Linked DNA regions of Caenorhabditis elegans. The protein of the gene in region 1 purifies or fractionates together with the protein of each later gene. This does not show direct contact. Each region holds a gene or a part of one and is shown in the gene's direction. Other genes may lie near its edges. The genes, in order: clec-182, cku-70 and faah-5.

Region 1 (6,591 bases):
AGTAAATATTCAGACTTTCCGAAATCGGTTAATCAAAGAAGAACTCATCACAAATGACAAAATAACTCGACTTCTTGCCAATGTGTCATCATTATACCAATTTCATAATACGCATTTCCTTCCGCAACTATTGGAATCTATCAGAGACTGGCACACAACCAAAAGGTAACATTTATATTCTCTAATTGTCTGTTGCAAAATTTAAAAAAATTTAGAATCGCCAATGTTGTTCGAAAACAAGCTCCGTTCCTCAAAATGTATTCAGAATACACGAATAACTACGATAGAGCCACGAAACTATTTGAAGAACTGAAAAAGAAGAAAAAGTTTGCAGATGTAGTTAAGGAAATTGAAAAGCAAGCAGAGTGTGAAGGTCTTCCACTTGGACATCATTTAATTTGTCCAGTACAGAGAGTAATGAGATATCAATTATTATTACAAGAATATAAGAAACATCTTCAACCGAGTGATGTTGATTTTGATGATACTACGGTAGCTTTGGAATTGGTATTACAAGCAGCTGCACATGCAAATGAAATGATGAAAAAATTGGTAAATAACATTTTGGAATAAGTATAGGCCTATAAGGTTATTTTGTTTTCAGGATCGATTTGGGAAAGTGATTGAAGTTCAGGAACAGCTAGGCAACTCAATATCTCTAGTATCCCCAGGACGCGAACTTCTCAAATCTGGATCAGTTCAAAAAATCTCATCGACAACTGAGAAAACCGAGGAACGATTCATATTCTTGTTTAATGATTTAGTAATTTTGGCGAGTGAACGAAAGATGATTGGAGTCTCCAAGTACAAGTTGAGAGCAGTTTTCAGTGCTTCTCATATGCAGGTTAGTGTAACAAGAAAGTGCCGAAATTCCAATATTTTATTAACATTAAATTTACAGGTTTGTGAAGGAGATAATTTGGAGCGTGAGCACTCATTTTACCTAAGAGGATCCGATGGAACTGGTCCAAAGAGATGTGTTGAACTGTTCACTCCAACACAAAAAGAGAAAAATGATTGGGTTGATTCGATTTTCTCAATCATAGATGAAGCTAAAGCTCACAGTCTAACTTTTACTTCAAGCTCGGTTAGTTTTATTATGTAGGACAATAAATTATGAGTTTAATTTCAGAGAAGTTCTATAAGCGAAAACAACAATAATTCAATTGAATCGAAACACTGCGCTGATTGTGATATTGAATTTGGGTAAGTTTAAAGTTCAACATTTCTAACTTTAATTATTTTTCTAATTTGTCAGGTTCCTATCACGGGGTTCGAAATGTGTCAAATGCAGTCGTCGTCTCTGTAAAAAATGTTTTGGTCGTCGCAGAAATGAGTCGAAAAAGCACAGAATATGTGATACATGCACCAAAAATATGGATCTAGATGGAATTCCAAGAAGCTTTTCAACTCAAAGTAATATGCGAAGGAATCTTCTTCAACTACCAGCTAAGGGTTCAGGAGTATTGCATTCAAGCCAGATTAGGGTAAGACTTAGAACAGTTTTAAATAGATTTCAGCTAATTAATAGAATAGATTTTTTAAAATAAACTTGACCTAATTCTAGCACCTTCGCCAAAAACCAGAGCTCCAACAAATCTTTCATAACTGCTATTATCTAGTGAAATTATTGATAATCTTGTTTTTTTTAATTATTTGTTACTCATCCGATAATATTTCAGTTCCGTGGATCTTTGGGGAAATTGTTAGATCGATTTATGGTTGTTCGAGACGATTTCTGTATGTACACTTATTCATCAGAAGAGGTATGTTTTTGATCAGTCATTTCTGCAATTTGTTGTATTATCATATTTTTAGGATATATGTGCCTTGGCTATGCTGCCACTTCCAGGATGTGAAGTAAAGATGTGTGGAGAAAAATTCACATTTTCGGTTCGAGTCGGAGCCCGTCGAATGTACACAATGACCGCTGAAGACGAACAAACCCAAATGAAATGGTTGGCGATTTTGGATTTAGCCGCAAACGCACATCTGAAGAATCAACGGAATTCTGGATCCGAGCAATCTGAATGATGATTCTTTTTTGGCACCCAGCCAAGACATATGTTTATTTTCTTAGTTATTTCAGTGTTCTATTCTTGTTTTTCTCTCAATTCTTATTATTCGTTCGTTGAAACTGTATCCAAATTTTCCGAACTGATTATATTTTTTAAATACGTTCATCTCATCTCATCCCTCTTCTCTCACTCACTACTAAAATCGTACGCAAGTGCGTTCCGCCTGAACACATATCTGTTCTCGAATTCTAGTCATCGTAGAATCTGAAATTTTGAACTCCTGCAATCTGAATATTTTCTGACCTTGAAATGACCAAATTGTCTCTTTTACTACCTTCTCCTTCTCCACGAGTTTTATTAATTTTTTTTGAACATTTAATAAACTATAACACTAATTTTAAATTATTTGGACTGTGTTTGGCTTTTTTTTATGAATGTCAACACAATTTAGGTCATCGAAAATTATGTAATGTTAAATTTTAAATCTCAAAAGAGAAATGATATACAACTAAAAACACTAAACGCGGTTTTTAGTGCTTCCATAGTTTTACAGTTTCAGCATTTTCTGATAGAATTTTTGAACTGACAATGTCATTGGATTGCAAATGTCATGAACCCTGTTTAAAGCCTTTTTGTTTTAAAACATTAAACATGGAATTTAAGCAAAAATACTCAAAAATTCTACCGTGCTCTCGGCTTTTCGTAAAAATAACTAACAACCAGTTCACATATTCACATACTTCTGATTCAAAATTTGACGAAAACATTTCTTTTTTTATTTTCAAAAGTAGCGTGTAATTTTTTGTTTTTTTGTAATTGATGATTTCACGTAATTTTTTTTATCAAGATCAACTCCTTATAAAATGATAATTTTCCCATTTAAATTCATAATTTATTAGCAAGCTGTTCGCAATAGAGAATCGATTGCGATTAGTTTAAGAGTAGAATTGAAACTATACACAGTTCAAAATGCAGTCAATGGTCAGTAATAAATATATTATCAAGCGGTAACTAGGCAAAGATCCTCTGTCTGAAACTTTCATATTTTGCTTTTCTTTACAAGAATTTTTGTTTTCAGCTTTTCTTGGTGCTCTTTTCACACATAGTAGCTCCTGCAGTTTCAGTCAGTATGACGTTTGAAAACTTTCAAAATATCTACGAAAAAACAATTGATCTGAGCTCGATTAAGACTTGTTGGATGTTTGATGGAACAATTCATGAAGCAGAGAAAGATTACCCGGATAGAGGATACACTTGCACGGTTAAGATTCCTGGATGGGTTGCGGACGAAAAAGAGGCAAAAGATTATTGCAATAGTAAATTACCGTTTTACATCACTGGACATCGACCAGGCGGAGCTTCAACTAGATGTACATTCCGTGCGTGTTCTTGTAATTTTTGCTTTAACATTTAGAACTGTTGCGCATCATGAAGTCAAATTCCAAAAAAAAAAGAAGTGAAGAAATGGGATTTTGTTTTGTAAGAGCTCATATTCTTGGTTAGAAACTAGGGCTAATAGGAAGTCGTCTAATTTTTTGGAAAAGACTCAAAATGTGAGAAACGATCGTTCTCTCGAGTCTTTACTTTTCTTTTTATTATGATGAGACTCGTTTCTCATTCAAGTGAGAACATTTTCCTCATTCACAGCCTTACAAAGTGAAAACTGATTAAATAATCAATACCCATTTCCATTTCAAAACCTTTCATCTTTAGTGGTTACGGTTGCATGTGAACCCGATTATTGGCAAATTCTCGGGAAATGCTACAAAGTGTATGATGGAAAGTTCACGTATAAAGAAGCTGAAGACACTTGTTCGAAGCAATCAGTCGGACCTGAATTGTCTCCAAAAGTAGCAAATTTCTTTGCGAGAAATATGCATCTGTTTCTAATGGAGATTGAAAACATCCGAAAAGCCTGGGTGTCAGTGCCAAATCTTGAAGATTATTACGAAAATGGGAAAGGCCACGCAGCTGTCTATGTACAAGATGCAGCGTACAGGCACGATGAACGTGTTGGTTCCATCATGATGTTTGATCAAAATTCGGAGCATCAAGTGATATGTGAGTACACTCCACCGATGACCATGGCTGAGATGTACTATTTGGCACATCGATACTCTGAAATTTATCCGATACATGTGTACAAACATGGTGCTATCATTCCAACGCAAAGTTATTACACGTGGGTTTTCTACATATTTCGAATTTGCTCCATCAAATTTCATAACGAAAGCCATATTCAGAATCACTCAATTGCAAGGAAAAGAAATGTACAATACTCAAGAACTGAAGGATGCATGTAAGGGAGTTGGAAACATTCTTAATGTGGAAAGTTTCCCCATCACGGCAATTGAGCAAGAGTTCGAGGATGTTAAGCCTTATTTGAAAGATCACCAATTTTCACTTGTGGATGCTTATAAAAATGAGTAAGAAATATATTGATTTGGTCTTCTTCTTTATTGAAAAAGTATTCAAATACTTAACTTTTTTACTTTCAGTGGTTGCTCGAGTGGAGACTATTTGACAGAGGGTAAACAAGTATATCTTGGTGGAACTGCAAAGACTGGGCACTGCGATGCTCACAGCTGCATTGTAAAATTTTAAGAATTGTATGAGACATGTGCACATATTTCCTTGATTATGTATCTGTCTATTTTCTACTTTTTAGCGTAGTATCCGCTGTTTAGTGTTTGTAAAATGAATATTTTAGGAATCCATAGTGGTATCAAAATATGGTGATTAAGAACTATTTAGTTTTTTCAGAAACTATAGAGACCCTACTAAAGTAAGGCTTATTACTAAAGTTCTAAAGTAAGACCTAGTAAGGCCTATTACAAGTTAATCATGGTTCTCTTATGCCCTTTCCCGCAAGCATCATCATCATCAGTGCCAGCAATTTGTTCCGTTGAGCATGAAGAGTACCGGTGACACACGCACACATTTCTCATCATCATCTTCATCCTTCTTTCCTTCTTCTTCTTTTTCTTCTAAGTTGTTCTTTTCTTCAGAATATATCTGGCTGCACAGACATGCACATGCACTCTTCCGACCAGCCAATAAATTCATTTTTCGACTCTCTCCTTTGATGCTCTTTCTGCTGCTTCTACTGCTGCTCCCTGCTCCCCTACTCACGGTGTTCTTTTATGAGAAGAAGAGGAAGAAGGGAGGCAAAGGATAAGGAACGAAGAAGAAAATAGAAGATGAAGAAGAACGAAACTGGAGAAGTGCATGGGAGAAATCGAGAGAATGTGAAGGTGGTATACTTTTTGGGTTTCGTGAAGATCGAGGAAGTTTCAATGATAGAAATCCATATCAGATCCAATTATGTAAATGTCTCAATCTCAAATCTGAAGGAAAAAGTAAATATGTTTTAATCCTAGTTATCATAATGTATGCCAATTTGGGCTCGTTGAGTTATTTCTGTATTATGGAAATACGGTATGGCTTCTAATGCTACTGGAGGTGCAACACTGAATCATGATAAATGTTTTCGGTGAATTTCATTGCTTCACTAACGGAAAACCGCAAAATTTTTAGAGCACAATAATGGAAAAATGAATGCACAACACAATTGTACGTACTATCGCGATATATCGGAATAACATCACTAAACGAGGTAAAACAAAATGAAGAACTTGGTGTTTCAAGTTTTGAGATCGGTAGTTGCTAATATTGGCTAATCAAAATTCTTTGGCAATTAGAAACAATTGTTTATTTTTTACACTTATATACCTTGTTTTCCACTAACATCATCACTTGCTATAGATTTCAATATTAATTTCCAAGTTAAAAGTTATCCATTTTGTGGGACTGAGCTTTCGGTATCCTGTTCTCATATCAAGCACCTGACTTATCGCATCCGGATATTCCTAACTTTTTGTTTTTGATATCCTTTCTAAACTGTGATAATCGGATGACACAGCGCCTCTAAACCACCAATAGCCCTTATCTCGGCGCCACACCGCTCTCGTTCGCACTAACCAATTTTCCTTATTACACACACGTCCCTGTCCCTTGTCCCCGCACACACACACGTATCGAATTCCTTATCATCATCATGTCTTTCCTTCTTCTTCCCATTCTTTTTCTTTTTTTTTTCGTTTCGAACATGTTGTTCTTCGTGGTCGACTTGTGAGGGGGGGGGGGGGGAGATTCTGCGCCTCTTCGTCTTCTATGCTGCTCAATTTTGCCCTCTCCTTCCCGCCCGCCTTCTCGTGACCACCCCGAGACAACGACGACAACGACGACGGAGCGAGAAGAAGAGGAGCGGCGTCCCGTCCCGTCCGTCCGTTTGATGTTCGCTCCTTTCTTTTCTCTAACTCCTCCATCTCATATCATTCACTTGTGTCTCTTGCCCCCGAGACACTAGTCGCTTCGCACTTTTTTTCGCTGCCTTCTCTATTTTCTTCTCGTCCTCACCCCGTCGTCGTTTTCTTCATGCCCGTCCCCGTCCCCCCGTCCCTCCCACATTGTTTCTAGTTGTTCGCCCTCTCTGTGCCTCGTGCTTCCTTCTGAAGACATCCAATTTGTCAAAAGGGGGCGTGTGTGTGTATATGTGTTGTGTAATAAGCAT
Region 2 (7,556 bases), on another chromosome or scaffold:
GGCAAACCAGCAAATTGCCGGAATTGGAAAGTTCCCTGCAAATCGGCAAATTGTCGGAATTAAAGATTTCCGGCAATTTGCCCAACGGCTATTGGCGCACACTTAATATTCTTGTAAAAATAGGAAAAATGGCAAAAATTTCCGAATTTTTTGAAAATCGAAACACAAAAAACCGCACACTGAAAAATATTAAACAATTTTTTTTTTCAAATCCCCATAAAATTTCTTTTTTTTAGAGGCAAAATTTAAAAAAAAATTCCGAATTTTTTCAAAAAATCGTAATTTTTGTTGCAGATGCGATGAGCCAACGTGTGAATTCAAAACTCGCGTACAAACGATGAAATGGTGTCGAGAAGGACTCGAATGTATTCGATGCTCAACTGGTGTGCTCCGTCGTGAATACACTTCAAAACAGCTTTTCGATCAGCAAATGTTCTTTCGAACAATTCTCGATGTCGACGCGGCTGTACGAAAGTTGAGCGACGCCCAGAAAAGTTCGTGTTTGCGAAATTTTATTGGAAAAAAATGGGAAAAATCCCTAGAAAATGGGAAATTTCGGCGAAATTCAGCCAAGAATCGTGAGAATTAGCGGAAAATCTCGAAAATAATGGAAACAAACCGAATTAGGAGAACATTTTTAACTATTTTTGCGTTAAAATCATTCAAAATTCGATTTAAAAAATGTGATTTTCTTTCAATTTTTTTTTTGGAAATCGGACTTTTAATGTAAACTTTTGGTGAATAATTGTAATTTCAAAAAAAAAAACGCAGAGTTCGGAGAAAAAGTTTACTTAAAAAATTTTATTTTCTATTTCAGCAGCTATTCAGCATTTTTTTTTTTCAAAAAAAAAATTACGGAGATAAAATTATTCGGCTTTTATAATTTTATTACTCAATCCCGAAATTTCACGATTTTTGCGCCCGGGTCTCGACACGACAAATTGTTGTTGAATGCGAAAAGGTGTGCGCCTTTAAAGAGTACTGTAGTTTCAAACGGAATTTTTTATCGATTTTGCGCATAGATTTTCACACGATTTGTTAAAATTTAAGCGGTTTATTTCAGTTTTTCTAATAAAAAGCATATTTTTTAACGAAAAACTGAAAAAAATTGGATGAAATTTGAGAAATTTTCATCCATTTTTTTCAGTTTTTCGTTAAACAAAAAAACTGAAATAAACCGCTTAAGTTTTAACAAATCGTGTGAAATTCTATGCGCAAAATCGATTAAAAAAATCCGTTTGAAACTACAGTACTCTTTAAAGGCGCACACTTTTTCGCATTCAACAACAATTTGTCGTATCGAGACCCGGTACCGTATTCTTTGAAAAGCTTGGCTCAAATAATTTTAAATCCGTAATTTTTTTTCAGTAAATTTTTTCTCCGATTTCTGAGTTTTTTTTTTCGTTGAAAATTACAATTTTTCACTAAAAATTAGCATTAAAAGTTCGATTTCCAGGAAATTTTGTACAATTTTTTCTTCAAAAAAGTTTTTTTTTTCCAGAAGCCGCCAAAGTCCGTGTCGAATATAATGGGTGCAAAATCGATTCAATGATGTTGGCTGATCGAATCAATGAGAAATATTTGGAGAAAAATGCCTATAATCGAGTGGATCTTTCATATATTTTTGCGCCAATGATGAAAATTCAATGAATTTATTTTCTTTTTTTTTTGAAAATTTCCCCCCAGTTTTGCGATTTTCCCGTCTTTTTTATGTCGAAATTTCTAATTTCCTAATTTTTTTCACAAGTCATTTCCTCCTCCTCCATTTTTCCATTTTCTCCTAATTTTCAGTGAAAAATTCTTTATTTTTCCCCAAAAAAATATTCCCGAAAATACTCAAATCATATCTGATAAACAATCGAATCCTGTGTTAATTCTCCCTTTTTTCACTGAATTTTTGGAGTTTTTCCATCTCTGAAAAAATTATTTCAATTTATTATAGTATTTGTGTCGACTTACGGGGAGAATTTGAACATTTTCGCTATTTTCAAATTTTCTATGCAAAGTAATTTATTTTATTGTAAAATTAAAATTTTTGAGCAAAAAATAACACTTCTCCTCGAGGAGTACACGAAGGCTGCTGCGTAAATCGACACAGGGGTTGTCGATTTACGAGGGATAATGTTTCGGAAACTGAAATTTTAGCCAAAAAAAAAGTCGAGATTTTGCAAAAAAATTGAACTCAAACTTGTCCACGTGTAGTTCAAAATCCGTCGTAAATCGACACATGCATAAAAACCGTGTGTCTATTTACGCAGCTGGTGTACTCCTCGAGGAGAAGTTTTTTTTTTTTAATTTTTCAGTCACGAGCTCCGTAAATCGACAAAATATGATATTTTTTTCTCGAAAAATTTGAAAAAAAAAACTTTCGAAATTTTCAAAACTTGAAAAATGTCAAATTTCAAAGTTTTTGAGAACAAAAATATTTTAATAAATATTTTTAAATTCAAAAAAAATTAATTTTTCGATTTTTTCAGTCAAAATTTGAATTTTTTTTCGAGAAAAGTTTGAAAAAAATCAATTTTTTTCCAGATGGACGAAACCCGCTTCGAGGATGACGATTTCGAGGGTTCAACGGCCAATAAAAAGTACACATTCTTCATAATTGACGGAAATCCGGCAATGTTCGAAACGTCGAAAGCCGGTGAGCCGCCAGAGTTCAAGCTTGCTCTGAAGCTCATTCTCGACGAAATAGTCCGTGTTTGCTGCTCGCGGAGCCTTAACAATCATATCGGAGTGATTGTCACTAGTACTGTACGAGTTTTTTCTGAAGAATTTCTGAAAATTTAATAATTTTTTAATTACAGAAAAACTCGGAGACCGAGGGACTCGAAAATAGCACTCTGCTTGTGCCGATGGGTGTTCTTGGACAGGAAGAAGTGAATAAGATTAAGGAAATTGCGGAGGAAGGTGCGGAAATCGCGGACAATTTCTGACATTTTCGTGGTTTTTTTTCTCGGCATTCGTCGTCTTTTGGCGACTTGGCACAATTTTCGCAGTGAATTAGGCAAACTTCTAATTTTTCAAAATCTCGACAAATTGGCAATTTCCAGTTAAATTTCGAGTAAAATCTACAATTTCAGAATATTATACGCAATCTGGCAATTTTTTGGCAAAAAATTGATTGTTCTTTTGACTTTTGGCAGAATTTCGGTAGATCACCACTTTTTTGAAAATTCGAACGATTTTTTTCCGGCAAATAGACAAATTGTCGGAATTGAAAATTTCTGGCAAATTGCCAAATTGCCGGACATGACAATTTCTGGCAAATTGCCAGAATTAAAAGTTTCTGGCAAATTGCCAGAATTGATTGAAAATTTACGGCAAATTGCCAAATTGCCGGAATTGAAAGTTTCCGGCAAACCGGCAAGTTGCCGGAAACTTTCATTTTTGGCAATTCGGCAACTTGCTGGAAATTAAATTTTCCGGCAATTCGGCAAACCGGCAAATTGTTGGAAATTAAAGTTTCCGGCAAATCGGCAAAATGCCGGAATTGAAAATTTCCGGCAAACCGGAAAATTGTCGGAAATTAAAGTTTCCGTCAACTCGGCAATCCGGCAAGTTGCCAGAAATGAAAATATCCGTCAATTCGGCAAACCGGCAACTTGCTAGAAATCAAAATTTCCGGCAAATTGCTGAAAATGAAATTTTCCGGCAAATCGGCAAGTTGCTAGAAATTAAAATTTGCGGCAATTCGGCAAACCGGCAAGTTGCCGGAAACGAAAATTTCCGTCACGGCAAACCGGCAAATTGCCAGAATTGAAAATTTACGGCAAAACTGCAAACCGGCAAGTTGCCAGAAATGAAAATTTCCGTCAATTCGGCAAACCGGCAAATTGCCAGAAATGAAAGTTCTCGTCAAAACGGCAAACCGGCAAGTTCCCATAAATGAAAATATACGGTAATTCGGTAAATCGGCAAATTGTCGGAATTTAGTTTCCGGTAAATCTGCAACTTGCCGGAATAAAAAATTTCCGGCAACAATTCGGCAAACCGGCACATTGTCGGAAATTAAAGTTTCCGGCAAACCGGCATTTCCGACAATTTGCCGAATTTGCCAAACGGCAATTGCCGTCCACCACTGCTTTCGACAAAACAATTTCCGGTATTTTTTTTTCAAGAAATTGGCAATTTTCGACGCCAGAACTTAGCTTTTCATAAAGAGCGGCCTGAAATCGTGTAGGCCACGCCGCCTAGAAAATTGGCAAAACAATATTTCATAATAACCTAATTTATTTTCAAAAAAAAAAAAGGTTTTTTTGTGAGATCTCTTCAATTTTCAATTTCTCATCCATCACCACCACCACCACCACCTCAATTCGGTTTCCTCATTCCGGCCTTTATCTCCCGCATCAATTCATCTTGCCACATGGAATGAGTCTCCTCAATTGTCTGAATACTTATCGCCAACTCACGCATCCGATCACAAGCCACCTCAAACTCACGAGTGGCATCATCAAACCGAGTCCGATTGACGTCAGTGTCGTTGCTGGCGTACTTGTTCGCAGCACTATCCATATCGAGACGTGTCTTATTCAAATTGGCAATTGTATTTGTGTGAAGCTTACTCTCGTTCTGTGTGAACGCCTTGTACCGCTCACAAATCGCCAGCACCTTATCCATCGACTCGACTTCTGCCTCCATCCGCGTGTCGACACAATTGATGAACGGTTGCACGTTGATACGATCTCCGAGCAGAGCATAGTTCTCCAGTGGGCCTGAAAAGTTGGCTTTCACTTGCCAATTTGCCACGTCGTTCAGATTTGCCATGTGCTTGTAGAGATCCTGGACGCGGGGCTTCAGAGATTTGAAGTAGATCAACGCCTCGTCGATTTCGGCGGGAAGCACTGTCGCCTTGCTTCTGCCCGTCTTTTCTTTCACTTTTTGCTTTAGTCGACTGAACATTGTTGAACAACTCACGCACACACCACCGAGTCGAAATTTAGGAATAAATTGAATTTTGAATTTTGTCCGCGGCGTTTTTTTTTTTTGCTGTTGGAATTTTGAAATTTCCAACGTGGAATTTTGGGATTTTCACGGAAAAAAATTTGATATTTGAGTTTTGTTCAAGTTTGAAAAAGTTAGAAAAGTTTCAATTCCGGCGATTTGCCGGTTTATCGGAAATTTGCAATTCCGGCAATTTGCCGGTTTTGTCGATATGCCGGAAATTTTCATTTCCGCCAATTTGCCGATTTGCCGGAAATTTTCTACTCCGGCAATTTGCCGGAAATGTTCAATTCCGCCCATTTGCCGGTTTGCCGGAAGTTTTTAATTCTGGCAATTTGCTGGTTTTCCGTAAATTTTCCGATTTGCCGGAAATTTTCTATTCCGGCAATTCGCTGGTTTGCCAAAAATTTTCAATTCCGCCAATTTGCCGATTTGCCGGAAGTTTTCAATTCCGACAATTTTCCGATTTGGCTGTAGATTCCATTTCGGCAATTTGCCGGTTTGCCGAAACTTTCAGTTCCGGCAATTTGCCGATTTGCCGGAAATTTTCTACTCCGGCAATTTGCCGGAAATGTTCAATTCCGGCAATTTGCCGGTTTGCCGGCAGTTTTCAATTCCGGAAATTTGCCGATTTATCGGAATTTTTAATTCCGCCCATTTGCCGGTTTGCCGGAAGTTTTTAATTCCGGCAAGTTGCCGAATTGCCGGAAAGAAATCGTTTGCCGCCCACGCCTGCAGTAGATTTCGAAATTTTCGGCAAGTTTATGCAACCGACGTTATTTTGGTTTTACCGGAAATTTGATATATTTGCAAAGTCACTAGACATATGCGATTCTCAGTGAAGGCTTTCCGACCAATAAGCGATCCGAGGTGGGCGTGACCAACATTGCTAATTGGTTGGCGGTCCCGATTTGAAGTGAAATTTCAATTTTCAGAAGTTTTCCGAAAAGAAAATAAATAATTTTTTGTTCCAGAAAACCTCCTCTCGGCAGTGAACAATTACGGCGGTGATCATCACAAATCCGACTTGTCAAATGTGCTTAACTACTGTAAACGAGTGTTTGCAAGTTGTTCGAATACACGTCATCAATCGGTCATTTATTTGACAAACAATCGGAATCCATTTGAACGTGACGATTTTTTGGAATCTTCGCATTTTGTTAGTGGATTTTTTGGCGGGTTTTCGTGGAAAAAACACATAAAATATCGTTAAAAAATACAAAAAAAGAAACTTTAAAAAATCATAATATCCATGGAAAATTAAATTTACTGACAAAATATATAAATTAGTGTTGTAGTCAAAAAAAATTCGGAAAACTATTGAGCACTTTTCCAATTTTTCCAACTGAAATGCAATCTTTCTTAGATATTATAGGAGCCCAAAATTCTGAGAATGCGTACTGTGCAACAGATTTGACGCGCAAAATGTAGCTATATCTCGTAGCGAAAACTACAGTAATTCTTTAAGTGACTACTGTATCGCTTGTGTCGATTTACGGAAATCATTTATCAATCGATAAAATATTAAAAGAAAACACAAAAATGACAATTTTCTTTAGATTTTCGTTTTTTTGTCACTTGTGTGTTTTTGTTTAATATGTTATTATCGATTAATAAATGTTTTCCGTAAATCGACACACAATCACTACAGTAGTCATTTAAAGAATTACTGTAGTTTTCGCTACGAGATATAGTTATGTTTTGCGCGTCAAATATGTTGCACAGTACGCATTCTCAGAATTTTGGGCTCCTATAATATCTAAGAAAGATTGCATTTCAGTTGGAAAAATTGAAAAAAAGTGCTCAAAAGATTTCGGAATTTTTTTTTGAATAAAACACTAATTTCTATATTTTGTAAATAAATTCAATTTTTCGTGAATTTTACGATTTTCGAGTAAATTTTAAGCGCTAAATTTTCAATTTTAAGCAAAATTATTTTTTTTTCTTCAGAAACGCACCAAAGCCGCGGTCACCAAAATTATCGGTGAGGGACATCGAAAGACGCTCGGTGAATTTTCGGTTATTATGTTGCCAGAGGATGGATATAAGCCACAGGATAAGGACGAGAAACGGAAGGAGCCATGGGTACTCTACTGTGCAGGAAAAATAAATCGATAAATTTTTAAATTTTTCCGAAAAAAAAAGTGTTTTCTTTTCGAAAAATCTAGCTTTTTTAAAGCGTGAAAATCATAATTTTTTGGTTTATTTTTTTTTCCTTTTTTCTATTAAAAAATTAATTTTTTGAGGAAAAGTCTTCAAAAATAAATTTTAAAAATCGATTTTTGAATAAAACAGATGTTAAAACTAAACCAAAATTATTTTTTCCCCGGTTTTTCGAATAAAAAGGGTTTTAAAATATATTTTTTTGTTTTAATTAAAAAGGTTTTTTTTTCATCCGAAACCCCGGGAAAAAATTTAAAAAAAAACGGAGATTTAACGGATTTCCGAATTTTTAAATAATTATCGCTTTTACGATTCCTCTGAAAATTGATACTTTTTTAAAAAAATTTAAAAAAATGATTCGAATTTCGCAAAAAAAAAAACACTTTTTTTTCTCGATAAAAACGAATTTTTCGAGAAAAATTTTTTTAAAGTTCAATTTAATTTTT
Region 3 (10,097 bases), on another chromosome or scaffold:
TTTTTTTGCGGAGAAAAATGTGACGTCAGCACGTTCTTAACCATGCGAAATCAGTTGAAAACTGTGCGTCTCTTCTCCCGCATTTTTAGTAGATCACACCGAAATGGGACACATTTGACACCACGTGTGAGCCTTTAAATAGTACATTAGTTTCCACGCCTTTTTATATCGCAATTTTTATTCGTTTTTCTTTATTACCCGCGAAAATTTCGAATTTTTGGCGTAAAAGTTACGGTAACCGGTCTCGCCACGACAAGTTTTTGTCAAAGGGTACTGTAATTTTAAACTTTGTGAAATTTTGACCAAATTTTTTCAATTGTTTTTCGAAAAAAAGCTATTTTTAGTGAGAAAAAATTCCAAAAGTAAAAAAATTTTTTTGCCGGAATTTCGCTTATTTTTGCTAAACTTTGCTTAAATAAATTCGAATTAAAATAATTTCTCACAAAAAACTACAGTTTTCAGTACTTAAAGACGCATAAACTGCTTCAACTCAAAATATTACGGAAACACAAAATTCTGAGAATGCGTACTGCACAGCCACGGCGTGTAAATTGGTACATCTGGCATAGGGAAAAATGAGAATGGCCTTAGCCATGGCCGTGGCTAAGCGCGCTAAATAAAAAATATAGAATGAATGAAATGAAATCGATGAATGAGACATTAAAATGGATCAAAATTACAAAAATACACACAAATTGTTTTTAAAATGACTAAAAGACATTTAAAAACGGTTATTTTCCTAACTAATGTTGGAAATTTGATTTATAAGGCAATTATTAGGTTTATGCGTCAAAACTGGCACATTTTTCAAAAACTAGATCCACAAATTTTCTGAAATTTCACTACTTCATACGGTAGACTATTAAAAACAAATTATATACAAAAATTCATACCTACTGTCACAAGTTCATATTGAATTTTTCAATTTAGACCGGAAATTCACGTAAAATAGGTGTAATTGCCACAAATTTGAAATTTATTCAAAAAAATAGATCCACAAATTTTCTGAAACTTCATCAAGAGACTGTATGAAGGGTTTTGAACAATTTAAGTACATAAAATGTATATCCATCGCCACTAGTTTACACTGAAAATTGCCGTTCCTTAGTGCAGCTTCAACCTGCTTCATTTCGTTCAATGCGTAGTTTATATTTTTTGTATCTGAATTTAATATAATTTTAGTGTTTCTTTTATTCTTTTTCGATAAGATAATGCATTTTTGCTTGACTTTAACGATATTTTCATATAAAACAAAACCGGGAAGTATTAATTGCTAAAATTATGATGATTACTATGTAAATTTTGAGATTATTTTTGCACCAAATTCAAAAACCACATTTTTCTCGCCTTTCTTCAAGTATTTTCAACAATTTTCACCAGTTAAAATAGCAAAACATCGATAAAATGTTTAAAAAATCGATGTTCGGCGCTTAAATTCCAGCGGAGCGCGTTTGCAGCGTCCAGCGTCCAGTGGAGCGCGTTTGCAAAAAATGAAAAGGTCTCGCAACGAAAATTTCATCAATCAATTCTCATTAAAATTTTCTATTCTCGTCCTAATTTTCTTCATTTTCCATGTCCAAAATGGAGGATAAGATTAAATGTAAGTCAAATAAAATCGACAAAACTTTTGAATTTGAGATGCTATCAGTCATTTTATAATTTTAAGCAAAGAAAATCATCCTCAAATTGATCTCACACTTGTTCCACAGGCCTAATATTCTTTAAGCAAAGAATATTTAGCCTGCGGAGCAATTATTTTATACAAACTGTTTATTTCAGTGGCAGCTTACTCGGAGCTTCTCGAAAAGGCTCTAGCTCGTGATTGGTCTCCCGTCGATTTCATTAAAAATGAAATCTTGTTTGTTCTCGATGAATTGAAGATGGATGTGGATAAGTATAAAAAGAATCGCGAAGAATTTGTGAAAATCGGAAAATGTGTTGGTCACGCACACGCGCTTCTACTCATTGCGAAATTTGGCAACGAGTAAGTCTAATTTCTACAAAAAATTAGAGGCATTTCATTGTTTTTTTTTCAGAAAGTCAGATGGAGCTGCCACAATCATTCTCGGAAACATTCCCGAAGATGTGTCATTCCCCAAGTTGTTCCCTCAATGCGTGGGATTGGGCAAGTTTTTTGGCATTTGTATGAGCACCGTAAAGTCTCCATGCCTTACGGCCAAGCTCACTTTCGACGACCACCACAGTGCGGCTGATTTCGCTGAAAATGCCAATGAATTCGAATGGGATGGGCGTAAGCTGATCGCAATTGTGAAACCCTTTAGCGAGAAAAAATTCCAAAAGTCAATAATTTTTTTTGCCGGAATTTCGCTTATTTTTGCTAAACTTTGCTTAAATAAATTCGAATTAAAATAATTTCTCACAAAAAACTACAGTTTTCAGTACTTAAAGACGCATAAACTGCTTCAACTCAAAATATTACGGAAACGCAATATTCTGAGAATACGTACTGCACAACATATTTGACGCGCAAAATATCTAGTAGCGAAAATAAAACTACAGTAATCCTTTAAATGACTACTGTAGTGTCGATTTACGGGCTCGATTTTTGAAATGAATTTTCTTTTTATTTTTGCTCAAATTTTAATTGCTGCCCGTAAATCGTCACAACAGTAGTCATTTAAAGGATTACTGTAGTTTTCTTTTCGCTACTAGATATTTTGCGCGTCAAATATGTTGTGCAGTACGTATTCTCAGAATTTTTGCGCTCCCATAATACCTGTCTGAAATTGCGCAACTGTGTAATATCGTGGTGTGGCGGATAACAGAGATCGTGGCGAGACCATTTCGCAAGGAAATAAGGGCACGGTAGCTAAAATGTGTCAGGACCCATCACTGAAATTTTATGCACAGAGAACTGTTATTGCTGTCATTGTTTTGACTAATAAATTATTAATCTAGCCTCATATTCTCCTACATATTTTCTCACAAGGAACCGAATCTCTCTTCCCATTTCCAAGGAATTAACACAAAATCGTACCTACAATTGCCCACTCGAATAACACATTAGTTCCCCATTCATAATAAATCCCCCATCTATAATATATAATCTGCTGTTTTTCCGGAAAAAAAAACTCTGACTGAAAAAGTGATGAGTTGCCTTGCAAAAGTGTTCGTCGGGTTTTTAGTATTCATATTTTATCTAGCAAGTATTCCATTTCTTATTATGTATGCAATTCCAAAAGTTCTTTTGGAAAAGGTGAGCGTATCGACTGTTTTGTGATGTCAGAATGTCCCATTTCGTTGTGATCTACAAAAAATGCGGGAATCGAGACACAGGCTACTCAACTGATTTAGCATGGTTAAGAACGTGCTGACGTCACTGTTTTTTAGGCGAAAAATTCCCGCATTTTTTGTAGATCAAACCGTGATGGGACAGCCTGGCACCACGTGCTGTTCTGTGGTTTTTTAAACTTGCGCGTAAAATGTGATGCATTGAGTTGGTTGCACCATATTTGACGCGCAAGTTGAATTGTGGTACAAGCATAAAAATGCTTAATTATTTCATTTTTTACGGAAAAACTGAGAGAATTCCTTTGTAAAATCGCAACTGGAAATTTAAACGATTCCCTTATTTTTTTTGTTTTTAAAATGTGCTTTTCTGTAGGTTTTCACGATGTTTCTTTTGAAATAATGTAGAAAATCCATTTTCGACACGTAAATTATTGACACTTTCGAAAATAATGGCAAAAGTTAAACCGCTGCCCCATTACGGTTTGATCTACAAAAAAGCTGGATTTTTTGCCCAGAAAAATTTGACGTCAGCACGTTCTTAATCATGCAAAATCAGTTGAGAACTCTGCCGCATTTTTTGTAGATCTACGTAGATCAAGCCGAAATGAGACACTCTGGCACCACGTGCGCCTACCTGCCTGACCTTTAGGCGAGCTTCGCTTTGGAAATTCCGATTTTGCCGTTAAACATTATACTTTTAGTGCCGAAAACCATCGCGAAATCGTAAAATCCGAAACTTCCGTGTCCGCCAAGCCGACGCATTCACGGACTTTGAGAACAGAACTCTTCCATCGAAACTTTTGCACAGTGAACGGATTAATGGATCGAAAGAGAATGCTGATGAGATTGAGAAAACGTTTCAGACAGTACTTGCTATGGATTTTCCCACTTTGAGAGGTAACTTGTAAGGGGAAATTTAAACTTTAAAGCCCAATTCCCAATTTTTTAAGAGGCGCTTCAATCCGAAAAGTTCAACGCTTACACAGTGCTGAGTGCGTATGTCTGGAGAGCAATAAAGATAAATCGGAAGATCAATTGCATCACTGAAGTTATTAAGGAAGCTTTTACAGGTATGAAGCAAATAGTTTCAACGTGGTGCTAGAGTGTCTTATTTTGGCGTGATCTACGTTGATCTACAAAAAATGCGGCAGAGTTCTCAACTGATTTCGTATGGTTAAGAACGTGCTGACGTCACATTTTTTTGGGCAAAAAATCCCGCATTTTTTGTAGATCAAACAGCAAGTGGGCAGCCTGGAACCACGTGATCACGGGGAACACATAATTCTTAGAATGCGTATTGCACAACATATTTGACGCGCAACATATCTCGTAGCGAAAACTACAGTAATCCTTTAATTGGCTACAGTAGCGCTTGTGTAGACCACTTATCGACCCGTAAATCGACACAAGCTCTAAAGCTCTACAGTAGCCATTTAAAGAATTACTGCAGTTTTCGCTACGAGATATTTTGCTCGTCAGGTATGTTACGCATTCTCAGAAAATTTTAGATGCACAGAATTGTAGTTCTAAACTTGCGAACACATTTGCTATAACACGTGGTTTCAGAAAGTCTCATTGCGGTTTGATCTACAAAAAATGCGGGAATTTTCTACCAGAAAAAATGTGACGTCAGCACACTCTTAACCATGCGAAACCAGTTGAGATGCCTACCTCTCAGTTCCCGCATCGCATTTTCCGTAGATCAAAGCGAAATGGAACTCTCTGACTCCACGTGCCACGTGGTGTCAGAATGTCTCTTTTCGGTTTGATCTACGTTGATCTACAAAAAATGCGGCAGAGTTCTCCACTGATTTCGCATGGTTAAGAACGTGCCGACGTCACATTTTTTTAGGCGAAAAAATTCCCGCATTTTTTGTAGATCAAACCGTAAGCCTGGCATCACGTTACGTGCTATAAGTCAAAATTAGAAGAAAAATCTGGATTTTTCAAAGTCGCGCCAAATGCGCCAGCAACTTTATGCGCTTTCGACGCTGAGGACCCCTTGCCATTTGACCTCCAAAAATTGCGGGAAACTTAGACACATTTGTCTGACGCAATTTTTGGAGGTCAAAAGGTAATAAAGAATTTAAATTCGTGTTTCAGATGCTGCAAGACTTGACGATGAATATCGTGAGCAACCGAAACCCCCGCTATTTGGAATTCCGTTTTCTGTGAAGAGCAATTTCTATGTGAGGGATTCTAACTTGTTTTAAGATCTTAGCAACCTAGCTTATATTCTAGGTGACTGGCTACGAGGCTACCGTCGGACTGGCAAGCCTTCTCGAGCAACGGGAGACCACCACGTGCTCGCTCGTCAAATTTCTCAAGAATCAAGGAGCCATCCCTTTCTGCTTGACAAACCTTCCACAGGGACTTTTATCCTATATCACTTCTAATCCAGTCTATGGAACTACCAAGAACCCGTGGGACTTTTCTCGTACTCCTGGTGGATCGTCTGGTGGAGAGGCTGCTCTACTTGCAGCCGGTGGTACTGTATTTGGAATTGGCAACGATCTGGTGGGAAGTCTTCGGATCCCTGCAGCATTTTGCGGGCTGGTGTCGTTGAAGCCTACTCAAGATCGACTTCACGAGAGTGAGATGCACCCCGGGCTTCCTGGACGTGGACGGCTTGGTTACAGCTGTGGATTCTTTACTCGAAATGTGGAAGATCAGGAATACCTGTTGAGGCTGGTCATTGGGAAGCCGGAATATCAACAAATGTCACCGTATTCTTCATTGTCCCCGTTATTAGACACTAGTTCGGATGATAAGCGGAAGCCGGTTATAGGATGGTTTGTAGATGATGGATTCTGTTCAGTGTCTCCATCGAATCAGCGAGCAGTTGAGGAAACTATTGGGAAGCTGAAGGAATTGGGTTATGAAGTTAAGGAATTTAAAGTGAATGATATTGATACAAAGTTTCATTCACACGCTGTGGCCGATATGTTATTCAGAGTAAGTTATGAAGTTATGATAGTCAATAGTCTGCCGGTTTACTGGCCCGACTCCCGGTATCAGAAGTTTTAGTCTTGATTTCAGCTTGAGTCTTTTTTTGCCGAACGCCGGGGTGAGCGGCAAACGATTTTTTCCGGCAAATCGGCAAATTGTTGGAATTGAAAATCGGAAAATTTACCGATTTGCCGGTTTGCCGATGTGGCGGAATTTCTTCTCTAGTTCCGGCAAATTAATATCCGGCAAACGGCAAATCGGCAATTTGCCCAAAATGAAAATTTCCGGCAAATCCGCAACCGGCGCATTGTCGGAATTGAAAATTTCCAGCAAATAGGCAAATTGGCAAATTTCCGGAACTGAGCGTTTCCGGCAAATCGGGCAAATTGCCGGAATTGAAAATTTCCGGCAAATCGGCAAAATTGAAAATTTTCGGCAAATTGGCAAATTGCCGGAATCGGAAATTTCCGGCCAATCGGCAAATTGCCAGAATTGGAAATTTCCGGCAAATCGGCAAATTGCCAGAATTGAAAATTTTCCGGCAAATCGGCAAATTGCCGAAATTGGATATTTCCGGCAAATCGGCAAATTGCCGGAATTGAAAATTTCCGGCAAATTGGCGAAATTTCCCGATTTGTGAATATGCCGAAAAAAAGGCAATTGCCGAAAATTTATTGGCAAATTGTGGTTTTGCGTTTTTTCCGGCAAATAGGCAAATTTCCCGATTTGCCGATTTGCCGGAAATTTCCAATTCCAGCATTTTGCCGATTTGCGGAGTTTTTTCTGGAAGTTTCACAATTTCAATCTTAATCTGCAAAACTTTATGCATCCTATGAATGCTCCTAAATAATAATAAAAAATCCCTCTAATAATTTCCGGCAAATTGATGTTCGGCAAACGGCAAATCGGCAATTTGCCCAAAATGAAAATTTCCGAAATTGGCGAATTGCTGTTCAGCACATGAGTCAAAAGCCAAAAGCCTATAACCTTCCAACAGCTCATTCCCCAGAACGTGATGCCTGACAACGGAGAGTACATGTCTGAAATGTACGGCAGCGAGCCATACGATCGCTACATGTCCCACTTCATTCGGCTCGTCCGTTACAAACAAGTATTCGTGATTCGTTGGCTCGCCCAACACGTCTTACTTCCACTCGCCCAATACACTCCGCTCAAATCAAAACAGGTGCTGTGTCTTGGCAAGGCGTACAATTCGGATCCGGCGTGTGTTCGGCAGAATCAGGAGAAAACGGATTCGTACAAAATGAAGTGGATTCGATATTGGAAGGGATTAGGCATCGATGCGTTGATTTGTCCCTCGTTTATCAGTAAGTATTTAAAGTGAATGCAGAGAACGTTCCTAGCAGTTTGATCTCAAAAATTACGGATTTTCTGGAGATCAAACGGCGAGGAACCTGCTAGATTCGTTAAATTTTCAGCCCCTGCCCAACCATTCAAATATCCGGTCCTTCTTACAACTGGAGCCTTCATAACTGGTCTATTCAACATGCTCGACTGCCCGTCCGCCGTTGTCCCAGTAGCTCCAGTCCGTGAAAAAGAAAACGATAAATTCGAGACAAACGGGGATTTTGTGCTAAAACTTCAGGCAGCAGCAATAAAAGAGACGAGTGGAATGCCAAATTCTGTTCAAATCGTAGCACTTCCGAATCAAGAGGAAATGTGTTTGAAAGTGATGAGAATCGTTGAGGAGATCAGTGAAGGAGTTCAGGTGTTGAGGTGGAAGTCGGAGAATCAGACGATTTGGACGAATGGGGATAGTTTCGAGTGTTTTGAGAGATTCGAGAAGAAGATTGCTCCAAAGAAATAATATTTAATTGCTTCGTATTTCCTCTTATAACCCACGTGGTGCCATGCTGTCCCATTACGATTTGATCTACAAAAAATGCGGGAATTTTTCGCCCAAAAAATGTGACGTCAGCACGTTCTTAATCATGCGAAATCAGTCGTGAACTCTGCTGCATTTTTTGTAGATCAACGTAGATCAAGTCGAAATGAGACACCTTGACGTACATATTAACCTGTCATTTTAGGGTGAAATAAACTATAATCGTTAAAAATGCGAGTAAAATAGTATACAATTCCTATTATTCAAGGTTTCTTTTTCAGATTTCATGTTGAAACTCCGCGGAGCCCGCTTGTTCTGGCCTATACGTAGAAATTAAAGACTTGCGCTTCAGAAAATGGTTGAAAATACGAATATTCAGCAGGAATAGTTATATTTTATAGTAGATCAGTCGAACTACGACATATTAATGGTGTATTTCCACGATTTTTTTCCAGTTTTTTTAAAAATATGCTAACTGATATGACAAAGTACCCCATTTTAAGGCAATAAATCTTTGAAACCCAATAAAACTGCCATAATGGGCCTGACAACAAGCTTGTTAAAGTATTAATTTATGTAGTTCAAACAAATGAAAATATCACGAAAATGTTCTTTACAAATTAATTGGTTTAACCACCAAAGGTAACTGTTTGTTTGAAAATGCTTAAATTTAAAGGTGAAGTAGCGCCAGTGGGGATTTTGTCTAAATGCACTTATAATAATCCAAAACAACCGAATATCATAATAAAACACTCCTAAAAATTTTTAGATTTTTTATAGTTTCCTGCCAAAGCATTAGCGAATTGCCAAAATTTTGAAAAATACGAGATTTTGAGGAAATTTAAAGAAATGTCGCATGTTTTAATACAAATAATTTTTAAAAAATTAAGACATAAAAAATGTCGAAAAAAAAACAATTTTTTTGGTCGACTTCCAAAATTATGAGTGGCAAAAACTGAGTAATTGTCACTTTTTGACAGTGTTTTGGAAAGTTTTATTATGATATTTGGTCATTTTGGGACCAAATGAGTGGTTTTTAACAATTTCCCCACTGGCGCTACTATCCCTTAAATTAAATTTTAATGTTAAAAAATTTAATCTTAATTGAGTTAACTTGATAAGTGCCAAAGTACCCCTGGCTTACCAGAAATTTCATAGATATGACTTGCAGCTAGGGATGTTATGAGGGACTACCCCCTCCTGGTACAGATGGGACCCTCAACGCGGGCCAGGAGTCCCCCGGAAACGGGGCCAATACCCATCAACACCTAAATTCAAAACCACGTCTGGACCAAACGGAGGAGTGCTCCAAGAGCCTCAAAGTTTTTTCGGACAGAGCGGCGCTAAGAGGGAGCGCGTCGCTATGTGAAACACCATCCCTCCCACACACCACCTTCCTCAAGAGGAAGCTTCTCGTCAGATCTGGCGACGTCGAAAGCAACCCAGGACCCACTGTTAAATGGCCCTGCTCCATCTGCAACAAGAACGCCGACGGGAAAAAGGAAACCACTATCAAATGTATGGCGAGCCTGTGCAGAGTCTGGACACATGCGAGATGCGCCAACATCGGGAAAAACCCCTCCAGCCACCATGGCTTTTTCTGCGCCGGCTGCTCTATTTCTGGATCAACCACCACCACAAGACCTTCCAGGCCTCCAGGACCCGCCACTAACACCACTGCCTCTTCCACCCTTGCTCTGCCCCCACCCACTAAGCCTGCTTACCTGGGAGGGAATCCAAATTCCTACCACAAACGAGTGCCGTCTCTTAGGGCTTCACTTTGACTCCATGCTCTGCATGCGCGAACACCACGCCCAAATCAAGAAGAGACTCCAGAGCCAGCTGAATCAGATGAAAGGACTCGCCGGGACCACCTGGGGCAGCAACAAGGAACTCATGCTTACCACGTTCAAAGCCATCACCAAACCGGGCGCCACCTACGCCTGCCAAAGTTGGTCTCAACTTGTGAAGCCCACGAGGATGGACAGCCTTGACTCATCGTACAGGGCAATCCTGCGCGTCTGCTGCGGCCTCACAAAAGACACCCCTG

The links.
Region 2: the proteins of clec-182 (region 1) and cku-70 fractionate together in Caenorhabditis elegans (co-fractionation; one large-scale study listed by BioGRID). This does not show direct contact.
Region 3: the proteins of clec-182 (region 1) and faah-5 fractionate together in Caenorhabditis elegans (co-fractionation; one large-scale study listed by BioGRID). This does not show direct contact.

The regions. Positions count from the first base shown.
Region 1 is NC_003282.8:8,794,912-8,801,502, reverse strand, and holds clec-182 (C-type lectin domain-containing protein), read left to right. Parts: upstream 1-3,147; coding exon 3,148-3,397; intron 3,398-3,731; coding exon 3,732-4,200; intron 4,201-4,261; coding exon 4,262-4,444; intron 4,445-4,516; coding exon 4,517-4,622; downstream 4,623-6,591. Other genes in the region: exc-5 (DH domain-containing protein), read left to right, coding at 14-165, 216-552, 605-844, 902-1,087, 1,133-1,206, 1,259-1,487, 1,683-1,766, 1,819-2,034.
Region 2 is NC_003281.10:11,152,295-11,159,850, forward strand, and holds the start of cku-70 (Ku domain-containing protein), read left to right. Parts: upstream 1-2,532; coding exon 2,533-2,754; intron 2,755-2,807; coding exon 2,808-2,910; intron 2,911-4,314; coding exon of another isoform or gene 4,315-4,905; intron 4,906-5,921; coding exon 5,922-6,106; intron 6,107-6,897; coding exon 6,898-7,032; intron 7,033-7,556. Other genes in the region: pola-1 (DNA polymerase), read left to right, coding at 295-494, 1,502-1,650; Y47D3A.31 (BAR domain-containing protein), read right to left, coding at 4,315-4,905.
Region 3 is NC_003281.10:11,884,448-11,894,544, reverse strand, and holds faah-5 (Amidase domain-containing protein), read left to right. Parts: upstream 1-3,109; coding exon 3,110-3,217; intron 3,218-3,953; coding exon 3,954-4,149; intron 4,150-4,202; coding exon 4,203-4,322; intron 4,323-5,355; coding exon 5,356-5,441; intron 5,442-5,493; coding exon 5,494-6,207; intron 6,208-7,210; coding exon 7,211-7,529; intron 7,530-7,640; coding exon 7,641-8,029; 3' UTR 8,030-8,060; downstream 8,061-10,097. Other genes in the region: Y56A3A.41 (RRM domain-containing protein), read left to right, coding at 1,573-1,600, 1,780-1,984, 2,037-2,373.